Struthio camelus: one gene and its partners. The protein of the gene in region 1 purifies or fractionates together with the protein of each later gene. This does not show direct contact. Links are inferred from orthologs where the notes say so. Each region holds a gene or a part of one and is shown in the gene's direction. Other genes may lie near its edges.

What was found.
Region 2: the proteins of BSG (region 1) and ATP2B4 purify together in Homo sapiens (affinity purification with mass spectrometry; 3 studies listed by BioGRID and IntAct, counting the BioPlex papers as one, with this or other methods). This does not show direct contact. The link is inferred for Struthio camelus from reciprocal best matches to the Homo sapiens genes BSG and ATP2B4.
Region 3: the proteins of BSG (region 1) and SYMPK purify together in Homo sapiens (co-immunoprecipitation; 3 studies listed by BioGRID and IntAct, counting the BioPlex papers as one, with this or other methods). This does not show direct contact. The link is inferred for Struthio camelus from reciprocal best matches to the Homo sapiens genes BSG and SYMPK.
Region 4: the proteins of BSG (region 1) and GNPAT purify together in Homo sapiens (affinity purification with mass spectrometry; 3 studies listed by BioGRID and IntAct, counting the BioPlex papers as one, with this or other methods). This does not show direct contact. The link is inferred for Struthio camelus from reciprocal best matches to the Homo sapiens genes BSG and GNPAT.

What each region holds. Positions count from the first base shown.
Region 1 is NC_090967.1:7,635,584-7,642,936, reverse strand, and holds the start of BSG (basigin), read left to right. Parts: upstream 1-4,344; 5' UTR 4,345-4,583; coding exon 4,584-4,686; intron 4,687-6,272; coding exon 6,273-6,429; intron 6,430-7,353.
Region 2 is NC_090965.1:6,585,799-6,593,596, forward strand, and holds the start of ATP2B4 (plasma membrane calcium-transporting ATPase 4), read left to right. Parts: upstream 1-4,798; 5' UTR 4,799-4,945; intron 4,946-7,798. UniProt on the Homo sapiens protein: Calcium/calmodulin-regulated and magnesium-dependent enzyme that catalyzes the hydrolysis of ATP coupled with the transport of calcium out of the cell. By regulating sperm cell calcium homeostasis, may play a role in sperm motility.
Region 3 is NC_090957.1:1,740,728-1,747,563, forward strand, and holds the start of SYMPK (symplekin), read left to right. Parts: upstream 1-3,830; 5' UTR 3,831-3,878; intron 3,879-5,614; 5' UTR 5,615-5,632; coding exon 5,633-5,740; intron 5,741-6,836. UniProt on the Homo sapiens protein: Scaffold protein that functions as a component of a multimolecular complex involved in histone mRNA 3'-end processing. Specific component of the tight junction (TJ) plaque, but might not be an exclusively junctional component. May have a house-keeping rule.
Region 4 is NC_090944.1:92,212,961-92,219,781, forward strand, and holds the start of GNPAT (dihydroxyacetone phosphate acyltransferase), read left to right. Parts: upstream 1-3,804; 5' UTR 3,805-3,888; coding exon 3,889-3,936; intron 3,937-6,821. Other genes in the region: FSAF1 (uncharacterized protein C1orf131 homolog), read right to left, coding at 1-54, 833-928, 2,034-2,090, 3,150-3,409, 3,616-3,676. UniProt on the Homo sapiens protein: Dihydroxyacetonephosphate acyltransferase catalyzing the first step in the biosynthesis of plasmalogens, a subset of phospholipids that differ from other glycerolipids by having an alkyl chain attached through a vinyl ether linkage at the sn-1 position of the glycerol backbone, and which unique physical properties have an impact on various aspects of cell signaling and membrane biology.

The sequences.
Region 1 (7,353 bases):
GCCTTTGGTCTCAGTCTGTAGGGCAACAGTCTGTAGGGCTATAATGCTTTGGATGGTGGAGTACTAGGTTAGATCACTTCACACTGGTTTGCTAATCCAAATGTTACTTCTGGAAAATGGCTGAACTTAAAAACACAAAAACCCCCAATCATGTAGCTGCTTATTGGTCATCTGTCTCTTGAAGTCCAGCATTCTCTCTGGGCAGTTGTAGAGACTTGTCTCTATTTTACTGTGCCTTTTGAGGGTGTCTCTTACCTGAGCTTTAGCTCACCCTTATTTTGTAGGGGTGTTATTGTTCTGAGATCCTCTAATGGTAACAGAGTTGTGTTGGTCATTGAAGTCCTGCTTTTGGCGAGTGTGTAACAATGCTCTATTTTTGCTGAAGTAAACATAATAGCGGACTGTAAGGATTTTCCTTACCTCTCAGCTGTGTTTAACATTAGACTTCCATCTAGAGAGCAGACTTCTTGAGAGATGTTCCTTTTAAACTGCACTGTTAAAACTCTTTGCAGCTTGCAGCAGAGAACAATTGCCTAAGTTGTAGAGGCCCAAGTCTGTAGGTAGGTGCATGCTTGGACTCTGCTCTCAGATCATGAGAGGACAAAGTATTCCGACTTCCTGAACTGACTGAAAGCACTTGCCTTTGACTTGGTTATTTAGTGATTGCCTGGTTATATGAAACTTGAGAGAGAGTAGGCTTTATAGCTATTAGTGGAAATGGCAATAAGTGTCAGAGCTTCATATATCCCCTTCCTACGCTGAGAAACAAAGGTCATGCCATGGATGAGTGTACCCTGCAGGAAGACACAGGTTTCTGCCAGGTTTAACTGCACTGAGATCTGTCTGTGCTTGTTGGGTGCTGCGAGTGCCATGAGAGCTCCTCCCTCTGCTCAGTGGGGAGAGGTTGTTTTTAGTTTGAAGGTGACTCTAGAGAGTGTTATCTGGTCATGTCTGTCTTTGCCACTGTCCAGCTTGATCGAATACTGCCCGGTCCCCAGGAGAATTGCTCAGCTCTGTGATTGGCTCTGTTCTGTGAGGAATGCCTGGCTTTTGTGAGCTGATTTCAATTTCCAGCCCAACACCATTTGAAATCGTTTGAATGCCTCTGATCAATTCCAGTGGGTTGATGCTGGCTGTACTGGTATGTCCTAGGACTCAGCAGGTGCTTTCCCCAGCCTTGAGCGTCCGAGACTTCGATTAGTCTGCTTTGTGTTGGAAAAGCAGAGAGGGGATATTAATCCCATGTGAAAAGGGAATGATACTTGTTATTTTTATCATTTGAATTCAAGGGTGCCTAGAGAGGCTCAGCAGATCCACATTACTATCTGAGCTGTGCATGAAGTGCCTTCTAATTTGGAGCAAGTAACTTTGAAATATCTTATCAGTGCACTATAATCAGCTTGTATCTGTAAAGGAAACCTTGATCACTAGCAGCTCCCACTTTAAATCAGGCTTCAGTTAAAATGGGACTGATTTTTACAAATACTGTAGTCAATTCTGTGACTTTCAACATTAGGTGATTGGGAGGGTTAAATCACAGGCTTGTGATTTAAAAACTAAACTGGCATGCAAAATTGTCAGGAAACTCACCCACCAAAATACAGCACAGCTTATCCCACACCAGTATGAGTTTAACCTTGGTGGGCTGTTTAACTTTTTTCTAGCTGCTTAACAGGATTCAACTTCTAATATGTTCTAGAAGTGAAGCTCAGTGTGTGAGGAAGTTGCGATTAATACTTCCATATTTCTTTTAGAACCCCTAGTGACCTTTTTAAAAAAAAAAAATCAGGAAGATCATTCTAGTGTATCTAGTCAAATTCTGTAATACAGAGTCAGTTTGAGGCTTTAAAAACCTCTGCCAATATATTACTGAATGGTGCATTTGTGAATGTAACAGTTGATACTGTTGTTAGTACGTGAAATGGCACCAGACTTCTTTTTTAGCCACTGAGTTATTCTCAAACAGACCTCTGCTTCAAAATATCTCAGTTTTAATTATCAGCCTTCTCTTAAAACTGTCTTGGTCTCAGGTGAGAGTCAGCTCTCTCCTCCCTTGTCCAAACCTGTCTGTTCTTTCAGACTTCTAAAGCTTCAGAGTGTAAGGCTAAATTTTCCTTTGAGAAATGTTTAAACAGTGGAAATTATTTATGTAGGCCTCTGAAAATTACCTAGCAAACGTCTCTGTTTTGCTTGGATTTGAGCAAACTTGGTTTTATAATGCTGATTTATTCCCACGCTTGCAAAAAAAGATTTTTTTTATTAAAATGTCTTTGGGCATTCAAAAACAAAGAAATCCCCCAACCCACCTCTCTTAAGCCTGTATGACATGATACGTGTGTGGAGGGCATCTATATAATCAGAGCTTTCTTAATACTTATTACTGAGTAAGTTAACTTCTTGGAATGACTCTTGGTATGGTAGATACTTGGCAGGTCTACTGTTGGTGTCTGAGTAGTGCAGTCTGAAATCAGTGTACAGGAAGTGCATGTTGCAAAGTTAAGTAGCTCTGCTTAAATCTTGCTGAAATTGAGTCACATAAGTAACCTTGACGCAAATATGATGTCTTTTCCTGAAATGCTGTTGCTAGAGACTTCCTTCCTGCCCCCCCGGGGGGAGGGGGGAGAAAGCCCTGCTTGGGCCTTCTCCTCCCATCTGTCTTGTAATGATTTGGACAATCTTACATCTGGGAGCTGCTGCTCGTAGTTGATAGTGCTGCATCTGGCTAATAGCCCTAAAAATGGTTGGCAGCTCTGCTTTCTGCAGTGCACTGACTTATGGCTTTACCTTTGAACTGTCTGTTTTCAGAAGTTGAACCCTCTGGACTCTGAGCACAAGAGCAATTTGAAAAATACTGTAGTTTTAGCCTGTAGCTGTCTCTCATGTTTTTTTAATCTGTGTTATTAATTTAGCTTGCCTGGGATGAAGAAAGTATAATTTCGTTGTTTGTATTACAACGAATATTACAGATTTCTTAACCTGGCTTGTGACATCTTGCAGACTGCAAGATGCTCTCAGAAATTGCAGCTGTCTTGAATATTGTATTTAGAAGTATCTGACTTGCATCTTAGTGAGCAGGATGACTAAGCAAGCATGTGCGAACGTGAAGGAGAACAGATCTTGCAGTGCAATGAAGGCTGGCAGATGAGGCAGGCAAATGGTACCATAAGTGTAACAATGCCCAACATCATCTAGTCACCACGTAGTGACAGGATGAGTGCCAGGCTCTGGCCAGGTCTCAAATGAGATCAACTGACTTTGGGCGCGTAAAGCTCAGGGAGGGACTGACATGCCCCTCTCTGCGGGCGAGTGGGGAGCTATGTCTCTGTAGTGTGAACGTTTGTATGCACAAAATGTTCTGACCTTCAGTGTGTCAGAGTAGGGAGGCCAGTGTAGGATTGCTAGTTCACCAGGCTTGTGTGGCTGCTTTCTTTGTGTCCTTTTTACAGTGGAACGCATACTAGATGATGCTGTCTTGCTGCTGCCAGCCTTTTACTGCAATATGCAACAGAGATTTTGGCAGACCTGTGGACCTCCTTTTCAGAATATAGCAGATACTAAAATTTTGGGGGGACAGGAGAGACTGGATAAGCTGTTGGAACAAAAATCCATTGAAGTTTACATCCTGAGCTGAAAATGCTTGGAGACAGGGAGGAGTGTGAAAGAAGTATTGCAGGCGTGTCTAGCTCGTCGCCTCTGGAATCTGGGTACTAGGCTAGAGAGATACTTGGTCCGACCCAGTGTGAGCATCATGTTTGTAATGCAGACTGTGACAGAAAGGATGCAATTCAGTGACTGCTGGTTAAGTAGCTGATAACTAACATCACAATGGAATTCAATCAGTATTGCAAATAGGCTCTCTGTATTCCCAGACAGAGACCATTGAGCAGAACTTAACCAAGGTAATGAGGTAACAATGATCAGGGCTGGTAACTTTGAGCTTGAAACTTAATTCTGTGGCTGGAGTAGTTATCAAACTTCCACTGACGCAGCTACAGCCCACTGAATGCAATTCTTGAATATCTGGAACGTTATCATTGTTCTTTCTCTTCCTGCCTCGTATTTCTCTGCTCATGCAGCTAGTGTTTGTAAGTGTGGCTGTTCTGCAAGCTCTGGTTTTGCATCAGAGTGGCGAAAAGTGTTGTTGGCTGTAGACACGGCATGGGGCAGTTGACTGTGTAGCTGGAGATAGCTTATGGATTGTAGAGGGGAGGGAGCTGGGAGAGTATGCTACTCTGAAGAGTTATGTTCCATCTTCTCAGTGGCTGAAATTTTTTCCTTGTAGAGGTTGAATTCTTGCTTTGCACTAACACTTTGCACTAATACCTCTTCAACTCATAGCTGGTTTTGTAAAGTCACCGCTGTCTCAAAAGAGACTGACTCAGGACAGCGTCGAATTGTACTGCGAGGCAATTGGCAATCCTATTCCTGAGATCCAGTGGTGGTTTGAGGGAAGCGAACCAAATGAGACCTATGCTCAGCTTTGGGATGGTGCACGGCAGGACCGTGTCAAAATCAACGCCACCTACAACCTGCACTCTACCAGTACCATCTACATCGCAAACCTCTCAATCGACGATTCGGGCATGTACGAGTGCCGGGCTAGCAACGACCCTGACCGCAACCACTTGTCGAAGAGCCCCAAAGTCAAGTGGATCCGTTCCCAGGCTAACGTTTTTGTCATCGAACGTGAGTGGCCATACTGAGGCCTTGGCACTTGCTCGGACACTGATGTCTTGAGTCTCTTGCCATGCTCACCCCTGCACCTGTGTCCTGTGACTTCCTGAAAGTTCCCTTCACCTTCCCATCCTGGCTGTAGAACTGAGACTCCTACCCTCCTGTGATCTCCCTCACCACCTGTGACTTGATCCGAAGTGGCCCTGCTCAAAAAGGGTTGTGACTTCCCAACCAAAACACCATGCAGCAATCCTATACCTTTTCCAGAGCCCAAGACAGTAGAACATACTGCTTAAGTGCCTCCGTGTCCTAGTGCCGGCTTGCAGAATTAAGAATTTTGATTCTGCTGGTAGACTCTGCCTTAACCACCACTGACAAACCAGCCCTGCCCTACAGCTCATTACAGCTTCTGCTCCTGTGAACGTCTTGCTTTAAGCTCGCTTTCTTGCTAGTGTTACAAGCTGTGGGGATCAAAATCTGCTTTTAGTTTCTTGTGAAGCAACCATTTTTGAAATGGCCGTGTCTGTGTGTGACACTGAATGTGATTAAGTTGCTTGTACTGTGGAAGTGACCAGACTCCCTCTACTTGCAGAGCTGAAAGTTGAACTCTTGAGCTAAGAGGCTGCTTCTTTCCCAATAATAGAAACCTGAACTAGTTTGAGGGAATTTAACATCCTGCTAAGATCCTGTCGTGAATCCTGAAGTTAATGGAGCAAAATTACTAACATTTTCCTCAGCTTAAATGTACTAGGAAATACAAAGTTCCAGCAGATTTTTCTTCCGGGGGAATTTGTTGGGTAGGAGGAGAAACAAAATGCCTTTCAGCCCTGTGTAAAAATTATTCCTTCCAAAAAAGTGCAAATGGGTGGGAGGGTAGGAAACCTAAAGTGTCACAGGGCTGTATAATGGCTCTACTAATGACAGCTATTTTCTTGGACTTACCTCTTACAAGTAGAAGTGTCTGAGTAATCTTATGTTGCATAATGGAGATCTAGGACCTTTTGGAATCATGGCTACATAGGTTCTCATTGGAATAAATATAGCTATAAATTCTTGAGCTGTATCAGGTGGTGTGCATATTGCTTGCATACTGTCATATTTGTTGCTCCTGACGAAAGTGTCTTGACTGCTGTCCTCAATTATGCTACCTGGAGATGTTCAGATCTGCTCAAATTCTGGAAGGTGCTAACATGCAGCGAGTGCTAAAATGGTTCATGAAACCCTTCAGTGTGACCTTTTTCATTGCTTATTTGAGCACTTAGCTCCATTGCAATATATGAACTGCACCCATTGTAGAGATAGCAGGAGGCTCAAAACTGTTGAGTGCATGGCAGTGATCCTGACCGTGGTGGTAGCAGCTGTAGGGTCAGTATCCTATTGTTGCTAAGTGCCATCAGGCCCTAGTCATCGGGCTTTCAACTCTGTCCTGTGCTGGTATCATCAGTCCTGGTAGGAATCTGATTTAAGAAGGTAAGTAGAAAGCTATGGTGGAGACAAGGAGCTGTATTTTTTGGGAAATATTTGCCTTAAAGGTTCTTGGGGAGGTGTATAACCTCTGGAATAGCACATGTTAACTTCAGCTGAATTTACAAATGCAGGTCCAAACATCGTAACTCTCGTAACTGTCAATTCTGGCAAACTGGTCCTCTCCTGTAACATGACTACGCCTTACGCTTCCATTGAGGGCCATGAGTGGATGAGAGGAGACAAGATACTTCAAACGGACACGGAATCGAATGCTTTCACCAGTTACACGTAAGTGTCGGGGGCAAGGCCAGATAAGAATATGTCTGTACGCAAGGGACAGTTATTTTACCAGAAACGGCTAATGTTTCATATCAGTTGAACCTAAACCGAAGGACTGTCACATACAGTCTTGCATAAAATATAAACTTTGGAACTTCAGAACATGAGCAAAATAAAGGTTTGCTAAGGCCCAGCATTTCCTTTTTGGGGAGGAGGGGGCAGAAAGGAGGAAGAAGGGAAAGTGAATAGGCCACCATGCCCTCTTAATAAATTGAAAAGTACTGCTACTTAAAGTTTTCCTGCCCATGTTCTGCCGGGCTAGGTGAGTTTCTATTGGATTCAGCAGCACCAGGTAGGTGCCAGGTGGCTAGGGCTGCCTGCTTGGCTGGCCTGCTGTCTGGAGAACATGAGCACTTGGCTTTCTGCAGCATTGACATCAGTGCAGTGAGATGTTTTCCCAGAGCTTTAAGGATCTGTGGCTCTGGAAAGGAAATGAGCTCTCTGCTCCCCCAGAGGCCATGTGTGGAACAGGAGAAATGTTATCTGTACAGTTGGCTTTTATGTATGTACCTCAAGTATACTTTCAAAGTCTAGCCTGTCCCTGTAGAACAAGCTGAGTAGTTGCCTGCAAGTTACAGTTGGAAACTGTTTCCAGGCTGTAGCTGAGCAGAAACTGGAATACCAACCTTATTGTAACAGTGCAGTGAGCTTTCCACTTTGATTACAGTCAGGCCTGGCTGGCACTGGCCCAGCAGCTGGAGAGGCATCATGTCCTTTTGTGTGGCTGTGCCGACGTGCCTCTCTCCCCATAGCAACAGGGAGCTGAACAAGGATTAAAGTATTTATAACCCAGCCTCCCTCGCGTGACCTCAATTCCTTAGCTGAGTGGTTTTTGGGAGTGGGAAGCTCCATGCACAGCAGAGCTAACAAACA
Region 2 (7,798 bases), on another chromosome or scaffold:
CAGTTTATTTCCAGCCCCTTCCCGCCCATAATGAAGTAGCGGCTTAATTAGAAACGAGCAGCGTCGTTACAGTACTTGGTAGCGGAAACGCTCCAGGTGCAGGAGAGGTGTCTTTAGCAATGGCACAGCGGGACGGCTCCGGGCGGCAAGGCGCCGGGGAGCTGCCCCGGAGCCAGGGGACAGCCGAGCCCCCAGCGGGACAAGCCGGACGGGAGGCGGAGGTGGGAAACGGCGCACGGACGGGCTGTATCCCGCCGGCAGCCCGCGAGCCTTCCTCGCTCTGGCCTCCAGCCTGGGCCTCGCAAACGGCACGGCAGCTCGGCGGGCGCCTGGGACGCCGCCGAAACGGCAGCGAAACCTGGGGCTGGGCCCCGGGAGCGAAAGGGAAGAAGAAGAGGCAGGAAAAAGTCCGTGGCAGCAGGCTCGCGCTGCTCCAGCAGCATCGCCCGGAGGCCGGCCGCCCCGGGGCCTCCTCGCGCCCGTCCCGCGCCGCGCGGGGCCGGCGGCGCCCCCGGGGACCCGTGCGGCTCCTGCGGCAGCAGCCTGCACGCAGCAAGCGGAGTTGCTCGCTCGCCCGCGCGCGCTCTCCCTGGTTTTAGCCCTGAACGGAGAGAGGTTTTGCAGGCGCCCGGCTCTGCCTTGGGCTCCGCAGTCAGTCCAGTGTCTCCGTTGTAAACCCTGGGGGGGTCCGATTCTGCCCTCGGCTCTCCGGCACGGTGCAAAAAGCTTCTCCGTTGACTCCCGCGGAGCGACGCTGGGTCTGTACCGGCGGAGATGAGATCCGGATCTGGCCCTGGGTTTTGAATGGGTTCATAACGTGACTGATAACAACTTGGCTGATCCAATTCATTTTGGGCTAAAACTCCACCGACAAGTTCCCAGCCTGGGAGACGTTAAAGACAAATCATGATGAAGTTTGGTACTCTTCTTAAAGGGAAATCATCGGTTAAGCCCAGTTCTTAAAGAAGACCGATCTTGGTCTGGTTGACCGATCTTTCCCCTTTCGGGGGTATTTTTTTACGCTGCTGGCCGAAGCTCCGGGCAGGAAACGCGCGGCGCTCCCTGCGGCCGGCTCCCAGCTCCACGCACGGGGCCGGAGCCGGAGCGGGAGAAAAGGGAACAAACCGAATACCCAGCCAGGGTCCGAGGCTAGCGAGGGGGCCAAAGGCACAAGCACGAAGCAGCGGAGCAGCCCTGCGGAGACCTGCCCGCGGGAGCCCAGCGTCCCCTGCCCTGCCGGCCTTGCCCGGGCGGCGCGCGCCTGCGGGTCGGCCCTCCGGGACGCGGCGGCGGCGCGCTGCGAGCGCGGCTGAGCATCCGCAAACCGCCGCAGCCGCTCGCCCTGCCCGCGCGGCTCCCGCTCCGCTGCGGATGTTGACTTTCCTCCGTGCGCTTTTCCTTACGTGTGACATGGAAGGGGCTTTTAGACCGACTGTTTATGGCTGCTCCAGACGTAATGGAAACACGGCGGGCAGGAGCTGCTAAGTACTAGGACTGTAATTGCAGGCTGCCACTGGATGGGAAGCACATTTCGAAGCGGCTTTTTGGCCGCTTCCTTCAGTGAGAAGCGCGGAGCACCCAGGCTGGGAAGATCTGCCTTTCCCAATTTCAGCTGAAGCCCAAGGAGGCTGCAAATTCTCGACATTTCTGCAAATGCGAACTGCCCTCTGTTAACAACAGGTTCCCTCAGGCAGGAGGCCTTATTTCCTTTCAGGAGTCCAAATCCAGATGGTCAGAGATTCCTTCCAAGCTCAGAAAAGCTGTTTTAAAAGGCTATTATGCCTCAATAGCCCTTTTTGCATCCCAGACCATTGGAAATGCCGTCTGCCGTCTGTTCCTCCCTGTATTTTTCGAGCCTTCTCCAGTCACCCAGACAAACGGTGGTCTCTGCAAGCCGCCTTTTATTTGGGGGGTGGGGGAGCAGGACGCCGCCTGAAACCGGCCTGTTTGTTCCCGCTTTTGGCTTTGCAGCGGGAGGGGAGGCAGTGCTCAGCCCCCTGCCTGCACCCCCCTGCAGAGAGCACGAGCAGGCTGATACCCTCTGTGTTGCAAACTATTGAAAGGAAAGAGATGCTTTAATTAAGAGTTGCGCTGGCAGCTCTGACGACTTTTAGTCGACTCCAGATAACTAGCACAGGTTTGCTTCAGCTTCCAGCAGCGGCTCAGAGCAGCGCCCAGCCGTGCACCCAGCACCAGAGTCCCTCTTTGCCAAGCAACAGGAAAAACAACCAGGCAGGATGCGTGGGATACGCCACGCTCAGCGGCCCTGCAGGCGCCTCGGTGCAGGGAGGGAGAAATCCCCGCGAGGGTCCACAGCGGGGCTTTGCACCGCCACCATCAGCTCTCCGAGCCAGACGGAGCCACCTCGCTGAAAGCCGAACGGACGCGTTCTTACCAGCGCCTTTCGATTAGCAGGCGGAGGAATTCCTGCAAAAGGGCCTGGAAGCGTTTGCTGGGTGCTGGGCGGCAGGGCCTTGGCTCTCCCGGTGCTCCTGTGCGAGGAAGTCGTCTTCTGCGGCCCCCCCGGGCCGGCGCAGGAATGCAAAGTAATGGAGGTGCAGGCCCTCGAGGAGGGGAAAAAAAAAAACGTTACAAACACTAATTAGGGCTTGTGCGTGCACAGATGTTACACTGGTTTAACTTGAACCAGGTTGCAAGCCCAAACGTAGGGATAGAAACAGGATTAACCCTAATTTAAGGTTGCCAACACCCAAATGTTGCACCAGTCTTGTTGCACCCGTGCAATAGTGCAGCTTTCAGTCTGACTGCAGCATTTCATATGCTTCTAAAAAATGTGGGGGTGGTCGGGTTGGCCTGCGTGAAAGGGTGGTTATTTATGCTCCAATCCTGTGCAACTCAAAAAATGCACATACCCCCTGCCCCCTCAAATGACACAGTCACCCAAGGGGTGCCCAAGAGCTCTGCCTCGTGCTTTGCAGGGCCGCTGACACCCCCCTGGGCACTTGCTGGCTCCGCACGGGCAAACCCCAGCACCCACGAGGAGGCACCCCGACTTTGCCGTGCGTCGACTTTGGGTGCTCTAGAGGCGATCAGCTGGAGCGAGGAGGGTCCTGTACAGGAGTGCACCGACCCTGCTTGGGTACCCCCACTGGCCCGGGGGGGTCCACGCTGCTCAGGGGTGCATGCACCTTGCTGCCTTGGGGAGGGTCCCACCTCCCCACCCCACCCAGGGTGCAGGCACTGCAGTGCATTGGGAAGGGTCCCACACAGGCTGGGGGTGTCCGCACTGCCCTGCGGGGCCTGCACCACCTGAGGGTGCATGCCCAGCACTGCCTGGAGGGGGGGTACCCTTATCACCTTGGGGGTGCATGAAGCACACTACCTTGGTGGGGTACGTGCCACTGCTCAGGTGTGCATGCCCTGCAATGACATGAGGGGTCAATAGTGCTTGGGGGTGTGCATGCACCACACTGCCTTGGTGGGGTGCATGCTGCTCGGGGGTGCATGCCCTGCACTGATCTGGGAGGGGTCAATAGTGCTTGGGGGTGCATGCACTACACTACCTTGGTGGGGTGCATGCTGTTTGGTGGTGCATACTGCTCGGGGGTGCATGCCCTGCACTGATCTGGGGGGGGGTCAATAGTGCTTGGGGGTGCATGCACTACACTACCTTGGTGGGGTGCATGCTGTTTGGTGGTGCATACTGCTCGGGGGTGCATGCCCTGCACTGATCTGGGGGAGGGGGGTCAATAGTGCTTGGGGATGTGCATGCACTACACTACCTTGGTGGGGTGCATGCTGTTTGGTGGTGCATACTGCTCAGGGGTGCATGCCCTGCACTGATCTGGGGGGGGTCAATAGTGCTTGGGGGTGCATGCACTACACTACCTTGGTGGGGTGCATGCTGTTTGGTGGTGCATACTGCTCGGGGGTGCATGCCCTGCACTGATCTGGGAGGGGTCAATAGTGCTTGGGGGTGCATGCACTACACTACCTTGGTGGGGTGCATGCTGTTTGGTGGTGCATACTGCTCAGGGGTGCATGCCCTGCACTGATCTGGGGGGGGTCAATAGTGCTTGGGGGTGCATGCACTACACTACCTTGGTGGGGTGCATGCTGTTTGGTGGTGCATACTGCTCGGGGGTGCATGCCCTGCACTGATCTGGGAGGGGTCAATAGTGCTTGGGGGTGCATGCACTACACTACCTTGGTGGGGTGCATGCTGTTTGGTGGTGCATACTGCTCAGGGGTGCATGCCCTGCACTGATCTGGGGGGGGTCAATAGTGCTTGGGGGTGCATGCACTACACTACCTTGGTGGGGTGCATGCTGTTTGGTGGTGCATACTGCTCGGGGGTGCATGCCCTGCACTGATCTGGGGGAGGGGGGTCAATAGTGCTTGGGGATGTGCATGCACCACACTACCTTGGTGGGGTGCATGCCGCTTGGGGGTGCATGTCCTGCACTGATCTGGGGGGGGTCAATAGTGCTTGGGGGTGCATGCACCACACTACCTTGGTGGGGTGCATGCTGTTTGGGGGGTGCATGCCCTGCACTGACCTGGGGGAGGGGTCAACAGGGCTCAGTAGTGCTTGGGGATGTGCATGCACCGCACTGCCTTGGTGGGGTGCATGCTGCTCGGGGGTGCATGCACGGCACTAACCCGAGGGGTCGATACCGCCGGGGGGGTGCATGCCCTGCACTGACCTGGGGGGAACCCGCAGCACTTGGCGGTGCATGCACCGTCCCGTCCCGTCCCCCTTAACGGCCGGCGGGGCGAGCCGCCACCTTAAGAGAGTCCCGCCCCCGGCGGCGGGGACCCGCCCCGGCCCGGCCCGGCCCGGCCCGGCTCGGCGCGGGTTGCCATGACAAGCAGTTTCTCCCGCTAGCGCCGGAGCTGCCGCCGCCCTCCTCCTCCTCTTCCTCCGCCGCCCCATGGCCGCCCGCGGGGGCTCCGCCGCCAGCCGGGCCGCGGCGCCGCGCCGGTGAGTGCGGGGCGGTGCAAGGGGGGGGGGGAGGCGCTGCCCCGACCCGGGCCGCCCCGCCGGGAGCGGGCGAGTCCCGGGGCTTCCCCCCCCCCCACCCCAACCCCGGGGCAGAGGTGCCCGGGCGGCTCCCCGCCGTGTCAGCCGCTCTCCCGCGGGGCAGGGGCTAGCCGTCGGGGCGCTGCGGGGGCGAGCGGGTGGCGGGGTGCCCCGGCTGGCCGCGGCCCAGTGCGCAGACGGGGAGGGCAGCCGGGGCGCTGCAGGGCGCGCCGGGGCGAGGCTGCGCTGCGCTGCGCTGCGCTGCGGCGGGGTTCAGCCGCTGGCAGGGAGGCGTGTGCGAGCAGCGGCGTGCTGCAGGTGGGATGCGACCCCCCCCCCCCCCACCTCCTCAGCCGGCTGGGTTGGGGGGCACGGGGAAGGCGGGCGGAGACGTGCCCGAGGGCGCAGTCTGCAGCGGTGCCGGCGCCGGGCGCATCCGGCAGCAGCAGCAGCAGGTGGGAGGCAGCGGTGAGGGTCGCGCTGGGGGCGTTGCATCCTCGCCGCCGCAGGGGACCTGCGACTTGCGGCCCGCCCTCGGGGGACGCGGCGCCGAGGAGCTAGCCGTGCTCGGCGCTGTCGGGGGGGCAGCGCTGCCTGGCCTGGCCTGGCCGCGGAGGCGGGAGGCGAGCGCTGCGGCTCGGGCGCCGTCTCCGCGCTGCCGTCGTGCCGCTGCCCGGAGCTGCAGCTGGGCACCGAAGGGAAGGGCAGGCGCTGCGACGGGGGGGGGGTGCGTGTGCGAGTGTGGAGGAGGGGGAGTTACTTGCGGCAGCCCAAGGACAGGCTGGGGGAGGAAAGGTGTTTGCAAGGTTGGCTCTTGCGTTTCCCTAGGGGGGCAGGCGCCCGCCTGGAGCGCAGGGAGGCTGCCGGCCCCGGCGGGGCGGGGGAGCCGGATCCGGCCGTCGGTCGCGCTGGGAGCGCAGCGCCCGGGCACCGCACCGCGCCGCACCGCGCCAGGCGCGTCCCCCCTGCTGCCTGCACCAATCTGCCCGGGCAAATGCACAGCGGGGGGGGGGGGGGAGAAGAAACCAACCCCCCCCCCCCCCAAAAAAAAAAAACCCCAAAAAGCAACGAAGCGCTGGCGCACACGGCTAGCGGACGGGGGCCCTTGGCCGCTGCCCGCGCCCTAGGCCGGTCGGCAGCGCTGCGCCCCGTCGAGCATCTGCTTTGAATCCGCCCGGGGGGACCTGGGTGCCCGGGCTGGGGGCGGGGGGTCCCACCTCGGCCCCCCTGCGCCCGAGGGGGCCGCGCAGACCCTGGGCGCAGGGTGGTCCCTCCCTGTGCGGCCGGAGGTAAGCCTGGAGCTTGAAAGGGGGAGGGAGGGACAATAGGTTATTGTCCTCTTATCTCTGGAGAGCTGAGGTCGGGTGGGGGGGAGGGTGGGGGTCGGGTTGCCGAGCTCAAAGCAGCGCAGCCTGTTCCTGCCTGGCGGGACGGGACGGGACGGGGCGGAAGCCAGCGGCCCTCGGGGCTGCCGACCGACGAGGGGCCCCGCGTCCCCGAGGGGGCCCACCCGCTCCGGCGCGCCGCCCTTGCCTCTGCCTGGCTCCCGCCGGTGCCCTCAATCTTTTGCTTCCTTGAGCAAACTGAGATGCACCTGAATTATTTAGCCACGAGCGAGAGGAGCTGACGCCCCCCGCGCTCCTCCCGTCCTGGCCGCCCCGGTCCCCGGGGAAGCCCAGCCGTCCCCACCGGTGGCGGTGGCGTGGGACTGGCGCTGGCAGGGCCACCTGGCCCGGCCGCCCCGGGGAACGGAGCACCGAGCGCGCTCTGGGTGAATGAACGGGAAGAGTTGGGTGGTCCTGGAGGCCTCCCGAACGCTGCGTGCCCTTCGGTTCCCCAAAGCCCGTTCAAAGCAGTGGACTGTGTGCTTGGGTGTAAGATTTTTGCTGTTGTTGTTGTTCTTGTTTGTTTTTTCATTTCTGTTTCTTCTCCCTGCCCAGTGCCCGGCCAACCGTGCCGGTGTCGAGGCGCGACGGAGGAAGCGCCCGTGCTGGCTGCGTTCCCGCCGCCTGAGCGGAGCGAGGCAGCGCCCGGCCGCGGCAGCGCGCGGGTAGCCGAGAGCCCGCTGCAGAGCCACGCCGCGCCGCCCGGGGTTGCGGGTGCCGCGCTGGGAGCGGCTCCTCCCGAGGAGGCTGGAGGGACCTCTGGAAAGCGTTGGCTCCCTCCCGGAGGGGGGGAAAGGAGTTTCTGGCCCTGGGGAGGTGGTGCAAGCGCTGCAAGTAGTGGCTGGAGAGGGCAAAGGGTGCTTTTCTGGGTGCTTTTCTTTTTTTTTTTTTGGAATGGCAGGAGATGGTGCTAGAGGGAATTCCCCGTGCTGGCTCGCAGCCGTCGAGGTGCGCCCAGCCCGCCCCGGCTCCTGCAGCGCGCCGTGCACCCTCGCCGTTAGCGTGCAGCAAGGCGCAGCCCCGCGCCGGTGCGCGAGCAGCTGGGACCTGCTGCCACGAGGCCTCGCTGGCGCTGGCAGCGGCTCCCGGAGAGGCAGAGCAGGGCCGTAGCGGGGCACCGGCCCTCGGGCAGGGTGAGTAAGAGCGGGAGGGACAGGACGGGGGCGAGCCTCGGGCTCTGCCATTGTTTTGCAGCAGAAAGAAGCAGGGTGGAGCTGCAGACGGGAGTTCCCCCCCACGCGCCCCGAGGCGCTGGGGAAGCGGCCGCCTGGGAGCGGAGCCCGCGCCTCGCTCCACCCGCGGCGCCCTGCACGCTCCCCGCTAGGCCACGAGCGGAGTTTGCCGGCTGGGCAGCGCCTGCGCCGTCCGGGAAACTCCCCGCCGCAGGAGCCCCCGGGGGGTCGCGAGGGGCTGGGGCCGCGCGGAGCCC
Region 3 (6,836 bases), on another chromosome or scaffold:
GGCTCCCCGAGGTGGACCCGGGCGCCCTGAGCCTGCCGGTGGCACCCAGAGGGCTCCCCGAGGTGGACCCGGGCGCCCTGAGCCTGCCGGTGGCACCCAGAGGGCTCCCCGAGGTGGACCCGGGCGCCCTGAGCCTGACGGTGGCACCCAGGGGTCTCCAAGATGGACCTGGGGCCCCCGAGTGGGCCAGGGCAGACTGAGCCTCCGCCACCCTAGACTGTGGGGGGGGGAGGGTTTGGGGGTGCCAGGGTGGCCCTGGGTGTCACCCCGCACACGTGTCACCCTCCTCTTCCTCGTGCCCTTCCTCCACCCCCCCCCCCGGGGATTAAAGAGCTTTTTAATATCGGCCCCCGCAGCCGCCTCCTCCCTGCACCCGGTGTCACCCGTGGCCCCGGGCTGGGCTGGCACCCATGGGTGGGGGACACGCGCTGGGGGGGGGATGGAGGGGGCCGTGCACGGCCACGCAGGGACGTTGGGGCCACGGGGTGGGGGGGATAGGGACGTGGGGCACCCCAGGGTGGCAGCCCCCCCCCGCTGCACACGTGTGTCCCCGCACCCCCCCCGCTGCACACGCGTGTCCCTGCACCCCGACACACACACATGTCCCCGCACGCCCCGATGCACACGCGTGTCCCCGCACCCCCCCGCTGCACACGCGTGTCCCCGCACCCCCCCGCTGCACACGCGTGTCCCCGCACCCCCCTGACGCACACGCGTGTCCCCGCACCCCTGATGCACACGCGTGTCCCTGCACGCCCCGATGCACACACACATGTCCCCACCCCCTCTGATGCACACGCGTGTCCCCGCACCCCCGACGCACACACGTGTCCCTGCACCCCGATGCACACGCGTGTCCCTGCACGCCCCGACGCACACACACATGTCCCCACCCCCTCTGATGCACACGCGTGTCCCCGCACGCCCCGATGCACACGCGTGTCCCCGCACCCCTGATGCACACGCGTGTCCCCGCACGCCCCGATGCACACGCGTGTCCCCGCACCCCTGATGCACACGCGTGTCCCTGCACCCCCCCGCTGCACACGCGTGTCCCCGCACCCCTGATGCACACGCGTGTCCCCGCACGCCCCGATGCACACGCGTGTCCCCGCACCCCTGATGCACACGCGTGTCCCTGCACGCCCCGACGCACACACACATGTCCCCACCACCTCTGATGCATACGCGTGTCCCCGCACCCCCGACGCACACGTGTGTCCCTGCACCCCGACCCACACACGTGTCCCCGCACCCCTGCTGCACACGCGTGTCCCCGCACGCCCCGATGCACACGCGTGTCCCCGCACCCCTGCTGCACACGCGTGTCCCCGCACGCCCCGATGCACACACGTGTCCCTGCACCCCGACGCACACACGTGTCCCTGTCCCCGCACGCCCCGATGCACACGCGTGTCCCTGCACCCCCGACGCACACGCGTGTCCCCGCACGCCCCGATGCACACGTGTGTCCCTGCACCCCCGACGCACACGCGTGTCCCCGCACGCCCCGACGCACACGCGTGTCCCCGCACCCCGCCGCCGGCCCCCCGCCGCCCCCAACACTCGGCCCTTTGTGCGCGGCGCGGGCACGGGGCCCACGGCGCCGGTGGCGGCATAAAGCCCTGCCTGTGCCCGGCGCCAGGCTCTGCCGCCCCGTGGGTGCTGGGGGGGGGGCACCGGCCGCCCTGGGTGCTTCCCCCCCAGCACCCCAAAATTAGGGGGTGCAGCCTGCGGGCACCCCCTAATGCACCCACTATGAAGGGGCCCAGGCGTCCTGGAGGGGTGGGGGGCAGTGGGTGCTGGGGGGGGTCGTGCAGCACCATGCACCCTGCCCTCGGACCCCCCCACACACCCCAAAATTAGGGGGTGCAGCATGTGGGCACCCCCCTAATGCACCCGCTATGAAGGGGCCCAGGCGTCCTGGAGGGGTGGGGGGCAGTGGGTGCTGGGGGGGGTCGTGCAGCACCATGCACCCTGCCCTCGGACCCCCCCACACACCCCAAAATTAGGGGGTGCAGCATGTGGGCACCCCCCTAATGCACCCGCTATGAAGGGGCCCAGGCGTCCGGGTGGGAGGGGGGCAGTGGATGCTGGGGGGGGGACGTGCAGCACCGTGCACCCTGCACTCGGACCCCCCCCCAGCACCCCAATATAGGGGAGAACCACCTGCCCCCCCCCGGGGAAGGGGCCCAGGCGTCCGGGCGGAGGGGAAGCAGCACCCCGGGGTGCCACGTGGCCCGGCGGGCGCGGGGGGGGGGCGCTGGCCGGCAGCGGGGGCCGCGGGGCCTTGTTTATGAGCTGCTGCTGACGAAGTTTCCCAGCAGGCCCCCCCCCCCCCACGCAGGGCAGCCAGGCCTCGGGGTGACCCCCCCCCCCACAGGGCGCGGGGGGCCCAGCCAAGGGACCCAGGCGTCCGGGCGGCTCCGGGTGCCAACGTGGCCTCCGGAGCTGCCCGTTTTGGGGGTGGTGGGTGGGGGTCGCTCCACTCTGCAGGGAGCCCAGGCGTCCGGGCTGCCCCCACCCCCCCCCACCCAAGGGAGGACCTAGGCATCCGAGGCAGCACCCTTTCCCGCAGGGCACCCCGGGGTGGTGGCGGTGTGGGGGGGGTTCCCTGGCTGAGACCCAGCAGACTCGTGGCACAGGTGGCGGAGCTTGGGGGGGGGGGTTGTTCCCCTCTGACTGAGACCTGAGACCTGGCACACTTGTGGCACTGGTGGTGGAGCTGGGGGGGGGGTTGTTCCCCTCTGACTGAGACCTGAGACCTGGCACACTTGTGGCACTGGTGGTGGAGCTGGGGGGGGGGGTTGTTCCCCCCTGACTGAGACCTGAGACCTGGCACACTCGTGGCACTGGTGGCGGAGCTGGGGGGGGGTTGTTCCCCCCTGACTGAGACCTGAGACCTGGCACACTTGTGGCACAGGTGGTGGAGCTGGGGGGGGGGTTGTTCCCCCCTGACTGAGACCTGAGACCTGGCACACTTGTGGCACTGGTGGTGGAGCTTGGGGGGGGGGTTGTTCCCCCCTGACTGAGACCTGAGACCTGGCACACTTGTGGCACTGGTGGTGGAGCTGGGGGGGGGGTTGTTCCCCTCTGACTGAGACCTGAGACCTGGCCCACTCGTGGCACTGGTGGAGGAGCCAGGGCAGGGGGGCAGAGACCTGGCCCACTCGTGGCACTGGTGGAGGAGCCAGGGCAGGGGGGGCAGAGACCTGGCACACTCGTGGCACCAGTGGAGGAGCTTGGAGGGGGGGGTTGTTCCCCTTGGCTGAGACCTGGCACACTCGTGGCACCAGTGGAGGAGCCGGGGCTGTGTGTGTGTGCGTGGGGGGGGAGGTCCCCTCTGACTGAGACCTGGCACACTCGTGGCACTGGTGGAGGAGCTGGGGGGGGGAGGTTGTTCCCCTCTGACTGAGACCTGACACACTCGTGACACTGGTGGCGGATCCAGGGTGGGGGGGGGTGCACAGCGATGTGCACGTGGGATCCCGGTGCTTGCACACCCACGTGCACGGGACCCCCCGTCTTCGCGTTCGCACACCCACGCGGGAGCCCGGTGTCCGCACACCCACGCGCACCCCCCGTGTCCGCACACCCACGCGGGATCCCCGTGTCCCACGCGCACGGCGCCCCCCCACGCGCATGCGCCCCACCTGCACGCGCACCCCCGCCCCTCCCGCGCGTGCGCGCGGCGCCCCCTCCCCCTCCCCCCCCCCACCACGGCGGGCGGCGGAAGCGGAGCGGGGGAGGGGGCGTGGCCTCCCCAGACCACGCCTCCCGGCCTACAGCTCCCAGCGGGCAGCGCGCCCCTGGCGCCGCCGCCTGACGTCACGGCGCGTGCGCGGAGCGCGCCGAGGCCGCCGAGCGCGCGGGCGGCGGTGAGGGGGGCTGGGGGCGCCTATAGGGGCCCTATAGGGGCCCATAGGGGCGTCGGGAGGGGGGGGAGGTGGGTCGGGCCTTGGGCAATGTATGGGAGCGGGAGGCTCCGTGGGGCTACGGGGTGAGTGGGAGCCGGGGCTCGCTAGCGGGGTGGAGGCCCTATAGGGCTGTGGCGGGGGGGCTATAGGCTCCTATAGGGGTGTGGGTATGGCGGGGAGGGATCTATAGGGCCGTGGGGGAGGGCAGGGGCGTCGGCCGGGCCGAGGAATGTATGGGAGATGGGGCTCTGTAGGGGGGTGGAGGCCCTATAGGGCTGCGGGAGACCTATATGGGCCCCTATAGGGATGGTGGTATTTGTGGGAGGGGCTCCATAGGGCCCTGGGCCTTGTGTGGAGGCTGGAGGCACTATGTGGGCATGGAATGCGTGGGAGATGATGCCCTGTAGGCAGGGGTGGAGGCTCAATAGGCCTGGGGCACCTATAGGCTCCTATAGGGGTGAGGGCAGGTGGGGAAGAGGCTCTATATGGCCCTGGGCAGCGTGTGGGGGGCTGGGGACTCTATATGGACGTGGGATGCTTGAGAAATGGGGCCCTATAGGAGTGAGGGAGTGTAGGGGAGGCATCTCTATAGGGTGCTGGTCAGTGTTTGGGGGCAGGAGGGTCTGTAGGGACAGGATGTGTGTGGGGAGTGGGGCTCTATAGGGGCCTGGGGGATTGGTAAAAAGAGCTGAAGGCCCTATAAGGGGCTGGAGGAGCTGCAGGTGCCTACAGGGGTGGGGATATGTGGGCAAGAGGCTCTATAGGGCCCTGGGCAGCGTGTGGGGGTGGGAAGGTTTGTAGGGAAAAGGGGTGTGTGGGAAATAGGGCTCTATAGGGTCTGGGGGAAGCACAATGGGGTGAAGTATGGGGAAGCAGGAAGCTCTATAGGGGCAGGAGTACGTGGGCAAGAGGCTCTATAGGATCCTGGGCAGTGTGTGAGGGTGGGAGGCCCCGTATGGCCAGGAGCTGTGTGGGAAACGGGCTCTATAGGGGGAAGGAAACCGTGTAAGAGTCTATAGACACTACAGAGGCATGGTGCTCTATAGGGTCCTGGGCTTGGGTAGGGGGGAGACAGGAGGCTATTTAGGGACCAGGAGCGTGCTGAAATATAGAGCGTGAGTGTTGGAGGGGGTATGTGGTGGCAGGGCCCTCTATAGGGACCAGGATAGGTGCGGAGAGGTGCTGTGTAGGGGCCTGGATTGGCAGTAATAGGGAGGAGGCATATAGGGTGTCCCAGGACTCTATAGGGACCAGGATAGGTGTGGAGAGGTGCTGTGTAAGGGTCTGAATTGGCAGTAATAAGGGAGAGGCATATAGGGTGTCCCAGGACTCTATAGGGACCAGGATAGGTGCGGAGAGGTGCTGTGTAAGGGCCTGGATTGGCAGTAATAAGGGAGAGGCATATAGGGTGCCCTTGAGCTGTGTAGGGGGCTGGTGGGGGGGGCCTTGTGTGCCTGGGCTGTAGGGAGTGGGGGAGACCCTATAGGATAAGGGGTACTGGGGGTTAAACCTAGGGTGCCTATAGGGGCCAGGGGGTGCACAGTGAAGCTGGCAGAGGGGCCCTGTGTGCCTCGGGGGGGTTCACTGCGGGGGGGGTCAGGGTGCCACTGCGGGGAGGGAAAAGGGGTCACGTATGGCTGGCGAGGGGGGCAGTATGGCTGGCGGGGGAGCGGTGCTGACGCCCGCTCGCCCGGCAGCGAGGAGGCCGCGGCGCCATGGCGGGCTCGAGCGCCGACGGCCCCAACGCCCGCATGAGCGTGGCCTCGCAGTTCTTCGCCGAGGAGGAGTGCGGCGGCATCGACAGCATGAGCACCTCGGAGCGGGTGCGTGCGGCAGCGGCGGGCCCCCGCCTGCGACGTCCGCGCGGGGTCCTCGCGGGGATCCAGCTGTGATGTCCTCGCGGGGATCTGGCTACGTTGTCCTCATGGGGACCTGGCGTGGGGCTCTAGGGTCCTCGTGGGGACCCGGCACAGGGCCATTGGTCCTCGCGGGCACTCGGCTGTGACGTCCGCGCGGGGACCTGGCTCGGGGCTGTTGGGTCCTCATGGGGATCCGGCTGTGATGTCCTCACGGGGACCTGGAACAGGGCCATTGGTCCTCGCGGGCACCCGGCTGTGATGTCCGCGCGGGGACCTGGCACAGGGTCATGGGGTCCTCATGGGAACCCGGCCGTGATGTCCTCACGGGGACCCGGCGCGGGGCCGTGGCGTCTTCGCGGGGACCTGGCACGGGGCTGTTGGGTCCTCATGGGGATCCGGCTGTGATGTCCTCACGGGGACCTGGCACAGGGCCATTGGGTCCTCGCGGGGATCCAGCTGTGATGTCCTCACGGGGACCTGGCACAGGGCCATTGGGTCCTCGCGGGGATCTGACTGTGACGTCCTCGTGGGGACCTGGCACAGGGTCATGGGGTCCTCATGGGAACCCGGCCGTGATGTCCTCATGGGGACCCGGCGCGGGGCCGTGGCGTCTTCGCGGGGATCTGGCACAGGGTCATGGGGTCCTCATGGGGACCCGGCTGTGATGTCCTCACGGGGACCCGGCACAGGGCCATTGGGTCCTCGCGGGGATCTGGCTGTGATGTCCTCACAGGGACCTGGCACAGGGCCATTGGGTCCTCGCGGGGATCCAGCTGTGATGTCCTCATGGGGACCTGGCACAGCGTCATGGGGGTCCTCATGGGGATCCAGCTGTGATGTCCTCACGGGGACCCGGCACAGGGCCGTTGGGTCCTTGCGGGGATCCGGCTGTGACGTCCTTGCGGGGACCTGGCATGGGGCCGTGGGGTCCTCCCGGGGACCCAGCTGTGACGTCCTCGTGGGGACCTGGCACGGGGCCGTGGGGTCCTCGCGGGGACCCAGCTGTGACGTCCTCATGGAGACCTGGCACGAGGCCATGGGGTCCTCATGGGGACCTGGC
Region 4 (6,821 bases), on another chromosome or scaffold:
CTCTTTCATTTTCTCTTGGTAAGTCTTGTAGTTCACATGTTCTTTTTTGGGGGGCTGCAATAAAGATCAGGAGTGGTATCACTGGTGAAATGTTCAAATAGGTTCATCAAATATACACATGCCTGCACGGAAATTATTTTTCACAGAGGGTTAAAAAAAAAACCAACCAAGCAACAAACAACTCCTGCCCTCCAGAAAAAAAAAGGAAAAAAAACCCATTTTTTTCCCTTTAGGGGGAATGGAAGTGACTAGAGGGATATAAGGTAGATCACACTGAAACCATGTCTTTTTTTGATGGGGGCAATAGAGTTGGGGGCATTTTGATGGGGGTAACAGGCCTATAAGGTTTCCTATACACAGAGCCCTTAAAAAAAACCCATCTCAAAAAAAAAAAACACGTTTTCTACTCTGTTGTCTTCTTTACACTACTGACGGTAAATAAAACTGAAAACCTTTCTCTGTCCTTAACTTGCTGGGGAAGGTGAAGCTTTAGAAAGCTTAACAAGAAAGCCCCTCCTCCAGTCGTTTAGGTTTGGATGGTCTGAATAAAAATAAATAAATGTCGATTTTCATCCCAATCTGTCTTATTTCACCTAAGCAACATCTCTGATAACACAAACGTACTAGTTTTCCAGATTTCTACAGAAAACAGGTGAGACTGAACAGAAAATAGGGCCGAAACAGGAAAAATAAGGACGAGGTCACAGAAGGGGCAAGGAAGGAGAGCTCATCTTTTTAAAAAACTAGGGCCAAACGCCCACTGTGGTTTTTTACTACTTGTCTGTATCAAAACAGCTGGGTCATCTCCTGCCACAAAACAAGCAACAATTACCTTGGCTCCCAGCATGATAGCACGTTCCTGTTCCCACATGCGTTGCTCCTGCTTCTCATAGCCACTGATTCCAAACTTGTGCACTTCCAAACGAGCCTAAAACATTACAGAAAACTGAAAGCATTTTATAATTGTCCAACCTGCGTGAAACAACGCTTGACAGACTGAAACAAATTTGTACCCCCAAAGAAGCCTCAGATAGTACCTGAAAGTACAAAATAAAACTCACTGAGTTTAGACCTATACTGCCAAACGGTTAACCACTGTCTCATCTCTGGACAGTGAGGATGTCTGGGTGACAATATTTGACTCTCCTTATTTCACATAAAACTGAACACGTGGAAAAGACCTATTCTGTATTAAAATGAATCATAGTGCTGCACAGAGAACAACAATAAAACACGCTACCAACAACACCCAACGTTTACAGAGCGTTCTCATTACTTGACCACAGAGCACTTCACCAGTGAGAAGCCTGGACGTGCAGATGCTGAAGTGGTTTGACTACACAGGATGTCTCGTTCACAATACACAGGAAGACCTTGGCAGAATCGGTGGTGAATTCGTAACCTTTTCCAAGGTAGCGATTAAATCCCCACTGTTTTCAGCAGCAGAGAACGCCACACCCAGTCACCAGATTTCACTGGATCACATCACTTTCCTGAGCAGGGGTCAGGCATATAAAATAACCCGCACAAATTTGAAACCAATTCACTATCTAAGAAGCCTAACGTGAGTTCTATAAGAACAACTTCGAACCAAAAGACAAATGAAAAAATAAAAACCAACTGCTCTTTGAAAAATATATACCAATACGCTTCTCCCCCCGCCATGCGAGATCAGAAATACCAAAATTAACATCATGGGCCTAAATCAGCATTCGCTATATATTATGGGTACCCACATAGCTTTACACACTTTACACACCTAACACACAATGATCCTCCTCAAATTATCACTGAAAAATCAGAAATAAAGGCCACAGAGCTGTAACATGCCTCTGTTCGTAAAGAGCTGTTCCCAACAGCCAGCACACTCCTCCAGAACGGCATGCAGCCAAACTTATGTATTAGGAAATCCTCACCTGCGAAAGATAACCTTTTCTGGAATTGTTTCTCTTTGGTCCCGCTGTAGCTTTCCCAAGCACATAAATACAGCCACCTGCACACTAAAGCGTTGAGATTAGATTCTGGTGACTTACTTTTTCAAAGTTAAATTCGTGTTTGTTCACGTTTTTTTCTTCAGCCACTTTTCTGATCTATAAACAAAACAAAACGTTTCCATTTAATATAACAAGCAACCCCAATGTAAATGCTTATTATGATCGTTTTTCAAAAAGTAGTGAAACGCTAAAATGGGTAGTAGGGAAGAGAACACAGCTTTCCAGCAGGATCTTTTCCCATCTTTATGACCTTGATTTATTAAAAACAAGAAGGTCTCAATGGCATTCTTAATACGTAGCTATTGTAGGGTCTTATTGGAACAACCCTGCACAATACACAGGGTACCATTAAAGCACAGAGCTTTGCTCAGCGTTTTCTTGCTTAGGTCATTTGCTAACACAAAGAGTTTTATAACTGAGAAAGATACAGTATAATCAAATTAATAGCTGCAATTAGTTTTTGAAACTTCAGGTTTAAATTACACTTTGTATAAGAACTATTGCATGTGAGCTATGCATCTTACATTTGCCATTTCTAAACCTGTACCAAAACTGCTATTGCAGGGCAGGACATGAACTTAAAGTCATTTTGTTTCACGCAGAGCAGAGGTACTAGTGTATGTACTGACAGTTGGCAGTAACATATAGAACAACAGTTATTCCATAACTGTATACAAATACATTAAGGCACGCATCCTACTTAATTAACGCAACAGAAAAGGCTCCAAAGGAAGCACTGCCAACAAAGGGCAGGCCCAACAAAATAGCCGGCACCCAGCGTTAAACGTGCGAAACGACATCAGTGAAAAGGTCTTTTCTGCTGAGCAATTTCTGTGGAGACCTTCCATCAGCAGTTCTCAGGTTGGGGAGGAACTTCCCAGGGGGCCTAGCTTGTACCCTAGGGAAAGAGAGGGAAAAAAACCAAAAAGTGGGAAAAACCCAGCGCGGGCTCCACAGCCGCTTGCTACAGGAGCTAGGAAACCAAACAGCTCTGAGCCCTGAGAGAAAAGAGGGCCATCTGCCGGGAAAAGGACTCAACCCGCTGCTTGGTCCCTCCGCAAAGGGCTCCCAAAGGGTCCAACCCGCCGATACCCCCGCACGCCTCACCGACGGCTCCGGGCCCCCCTCTCCCAGCCCCGCGCAGCCGGACCCTACCTGGGCGCCGCCGGGGGGCGGCCGCGCCCTCCTCTTCCTCCCGCGGAACACGACCACCTCCAGCGCCGGCGCCGCGGGCGGCCGCGGGGGGGCACCGCCGCCGCCGCCGGGCTCGGCGCCGCGCAGCTCGGCCCGCAGCTCCCTGAAGAAGCCGCGGGCGCCGCCGCCCCGCTGCCTCCTGCCCGCCCGGCCGCCGCCTTCGGGCACGGCCGGCTCCGCCGCGCCGCTCGCCTGCGCCTCCTCCGGGCCGCTCTCGTCACCTGCGCGTCGGAGCACACAGCGCGTCACCCGCCCGCCCGCCCGCCGTCGCTCCGCTTCAGAGTGAACGGCCCGGCCCCGGCGGTGGGGGCAGCCCCAGTTTACACAGAAAGCCACCGCCGCAGGGCGGCGTCCCCTCCCCTCCCCTCCCCTCCCCTCCCCTCCCCTCCCCGCCCCCAAGGAGCCCCGCGGCGCCCCGCTCACCCACCCAGGTCGTAGAGGGCGCCGAGCACGGCCGCCAGCCGGCGGCACCGCTCCCCCGACGCCATGGCCGGCACGCCGGGCGGAAGGAAGTTTGGTCGCGCGCGGCTCCCGTCGCGCCCGGGATGGCGCCGCCCCCGGCCCCGCCCCGGCGGTGGCGGCGGGCGCGGAGGGACGCGGGGGGCCATGGGCGCCGCGGGCGGCGGCCGCAGCGGCAGTTGTGAGGCCGCGGCGACGCGGTAGGGCGGGCGGGGGGCGCGACGGCAGCGCTCGCAGCACCATGGCGGCGGCGGCTGGGCGGGCGCGGCGATGGGCGCCCATGTACTCGGTAGGCGGCGGCGGCGGCGGCGGCGGCGGGGGGGGCCGGGGGGAGCGGGGCCGCTGCCTGCAACCGCGGCGCCGCTGTTCACTCTGAAGCGGAACGACGGCGCTCCACGAGCTGCCTCCTTTCTCGTGGGGGTTGGGGAGGGCGGATGCCTGGGGCTCTGCCCGGGGCCGCGCTGCTCGCGCCAGGCCGTAGTTACCGGCCGTGAGCGAGCGCCTGGCCCCGGGCGTGGGCTGCCTCCTGCTCCCGCCGCCTGCGGCTTGGCCTCGGCGCGGCCCCGGGGGCGCGGTGGGGCGGGAGGGCGGCCTGCCGGTGCGCGGCCCGTTTGGGTAACGGGGAGCGCTGGCTCAGGCCCTGCGGGGGGGCTGGCGAGGGGTCTGGGGTCCCCCCTTGGGCTCTGGGGTGCTGAGGAGGAAATCTGCTGTAAAGAACTGCTGGCAGGTGCTCTGCCTTGCGGAGCTTTGGCCCTGGCTCCTTGCAGGGGTTTGGGGGCTTTTTTTGTTGTTTTGGGGGGTTTGGTTTTGTTTTGTTTTGTTTTGTTTTTGAGAATTTAACTGTTTTAGTGGAAAGTTCCTCTTCCCCAGCTGCTCGGCTTAAAAACACTGGGAGCTGGCGTGAAGCACGCACACAGATTGTTTGCCTCTGTAGCATTTGTCTGGATTGAAATCACAATAATTACAATTAATTTATTGATTTTGAAGACCTGACTTCTCAGCTGAAATGCACTGCAAAATACCAGTCTTCCTCTTTTTTTTTTTTTAAAAAAAAGTTCAGAAATGACTAGGACTTTACTTTAAAGAAAAGTCTTGTCAAAAGGCCTGTTTGCAGGTCTGTTTAACTTAGCTGAAAGCCTCCGTGATTGCAGCAGGTATCTGAATGCAGAGCATTTTGGGAGGTAGAGCTCGTGGCTGTCTTCTGGATTTGAAACACCTGGAATGAAAATGTCTCTCTCTCGCTTAACCTTATTTTTAACTGACGTGCGTGACATAACCGTTTGGCCAGCGTAGGCACAATATGCTGTGGTTAATAAGTTTTCAATTACGTTTGCTATTAGAAATTGGTCATAAAGTTGGAATTGACAGAATGGGTTTTCCTGTGTGATGCAATTAAAATGACTTCATTGACCTTGTTTTTTAACTGCAGCTCCTTTGCCAGCCTCGGACAAGGAGATTTGGATGTGGGATGCTAAACCTCTCTCCCTGCTCGGATTTGGATGGGGGAGGGAGGTGGGGAGAGGAGGAAATAAGTCCTGGTTTCAGGGGAGATTCCTGAACTTCTTTTCTGTGTCCTCTTGGCTCTATACTGGTATCCCAAGTGCATCGCTTCATCGTTTTAAAAGGTTATATGGAAAAGGAGAAATTCGAGGCTCCTTCTGGTTTTACTCTTGTAGTTCACCAGTTCCATGGTAATCATGAACCTAGCTGAATTTCCCAATTACTAAGTTGCTAATAGCATATTTTCTGAGTGCGTTCTCTGCCCGTCTGTGGTTGAAGCCAAGACAGCACTTTGGCCTCAGTATATAAGAGGAGAGTTATTCTCCTTTAGTAGTTGGTAAAGTTTGTTTGTTTTGGTTTCCTCCATGCTACTTCAGGGCAGGGCATGAAAATAACCGCTGCTGTGTACAGAAATTAGGTGCTCATTAAATCTGGAAGTGAAAAGGGAAGAAAAGTGGCAGAGTGATGGTTTTTCAATTGGCTGTGGCCTTTGTAAAACTCCTTGTCAGAGGCATGTTCTGGAGTGGCTGTAGCAGGCGGTGACTGCTGATGTGGCTAATAATACCAGAGCTGCATGCTGGATTTCTTTGTTTGCTTTTCATGCAGTTGCATGTTACAGGGCTTAAGCTTCGGCAGTTGAAGTAAACATAGCTTAGATTTTTCTGAGCCGTGTCTTCTTATGGCATCATGATATAAGCATGTGCATAATGTAGAATCGACTAATGTTTTTCTCATGCCATCGTTTTGCTGTTACAGGATGTAAATTTTTCTTTGCCGTCTTTATTTTTGATCGAGGGGGATTGACATAAGGTATCAGTGGCAACAGAAGGGTAATAAAAGCTATTTCCAGTCTTCTCATCTGTTCTTAGCTTACTTAGCTCTTGCAAAACATCAACTGATGTTGATGCTGCAGAAGAAAGGCTGAAAACGTTAATGCTAAACCATCCTGAAAAAAGCCTAAAACTTCTGAATGAACAAACCCTCTGATTATTTTAAAAGTCCGTGGAGAAACTGGTTCTGCAGTTGCTGCAGGACAATTCTCTGTAGTAGGACAGTAGATGGAAAAGCTAGATGGCTAGAAAGCTAGAAGCTACCAAATGCTGCTGTGGTGGAAAGCTAGTGTCCAGATGTGATTACATTGTGTAGGGGGAAAAAAGTTATGGAAAAAGTAAAACATTACAGTAGGATTTGTATTCTCTAATAAAATGAAGCTGGCTTTTGATAGAGCTGAGGCTTTGAAGGATTTCTTTTGTGGTTCTTAAATGGAGATGCTTCTGAGCCAAATCTTGTACTGATGAGCAAACAGGAACTAAATGTTTGCTATATACTTATTTTAAATCTGTTAGCTGTTTTTAATAGTTTTGCTGATGAGACTGTGGTCAACTGGCAGTGAAATACGACTGCCTCTCCCAAGGCTGAACACCCAACTGCCGCTGCTGGATACGTTGCTTGTCTGCTTCCAGCGTTCATGTGTGTTAGCAGGCCAGGCCGTCATCTTGAGACCAGAAAATGCCACTGTAAGAACCAGTGAAGCAATGTGTTTTATCCTTCAGTATGTAGACTGGGACTGGTTCTGCATAGCTTGTAAATAGGAAGAAAGAGAAGAAAGAATGAATGAAAGGGAACGCCCATGCTACCATTTAAGATAGAGGAAGACGGAAGCCTTTTTATTTT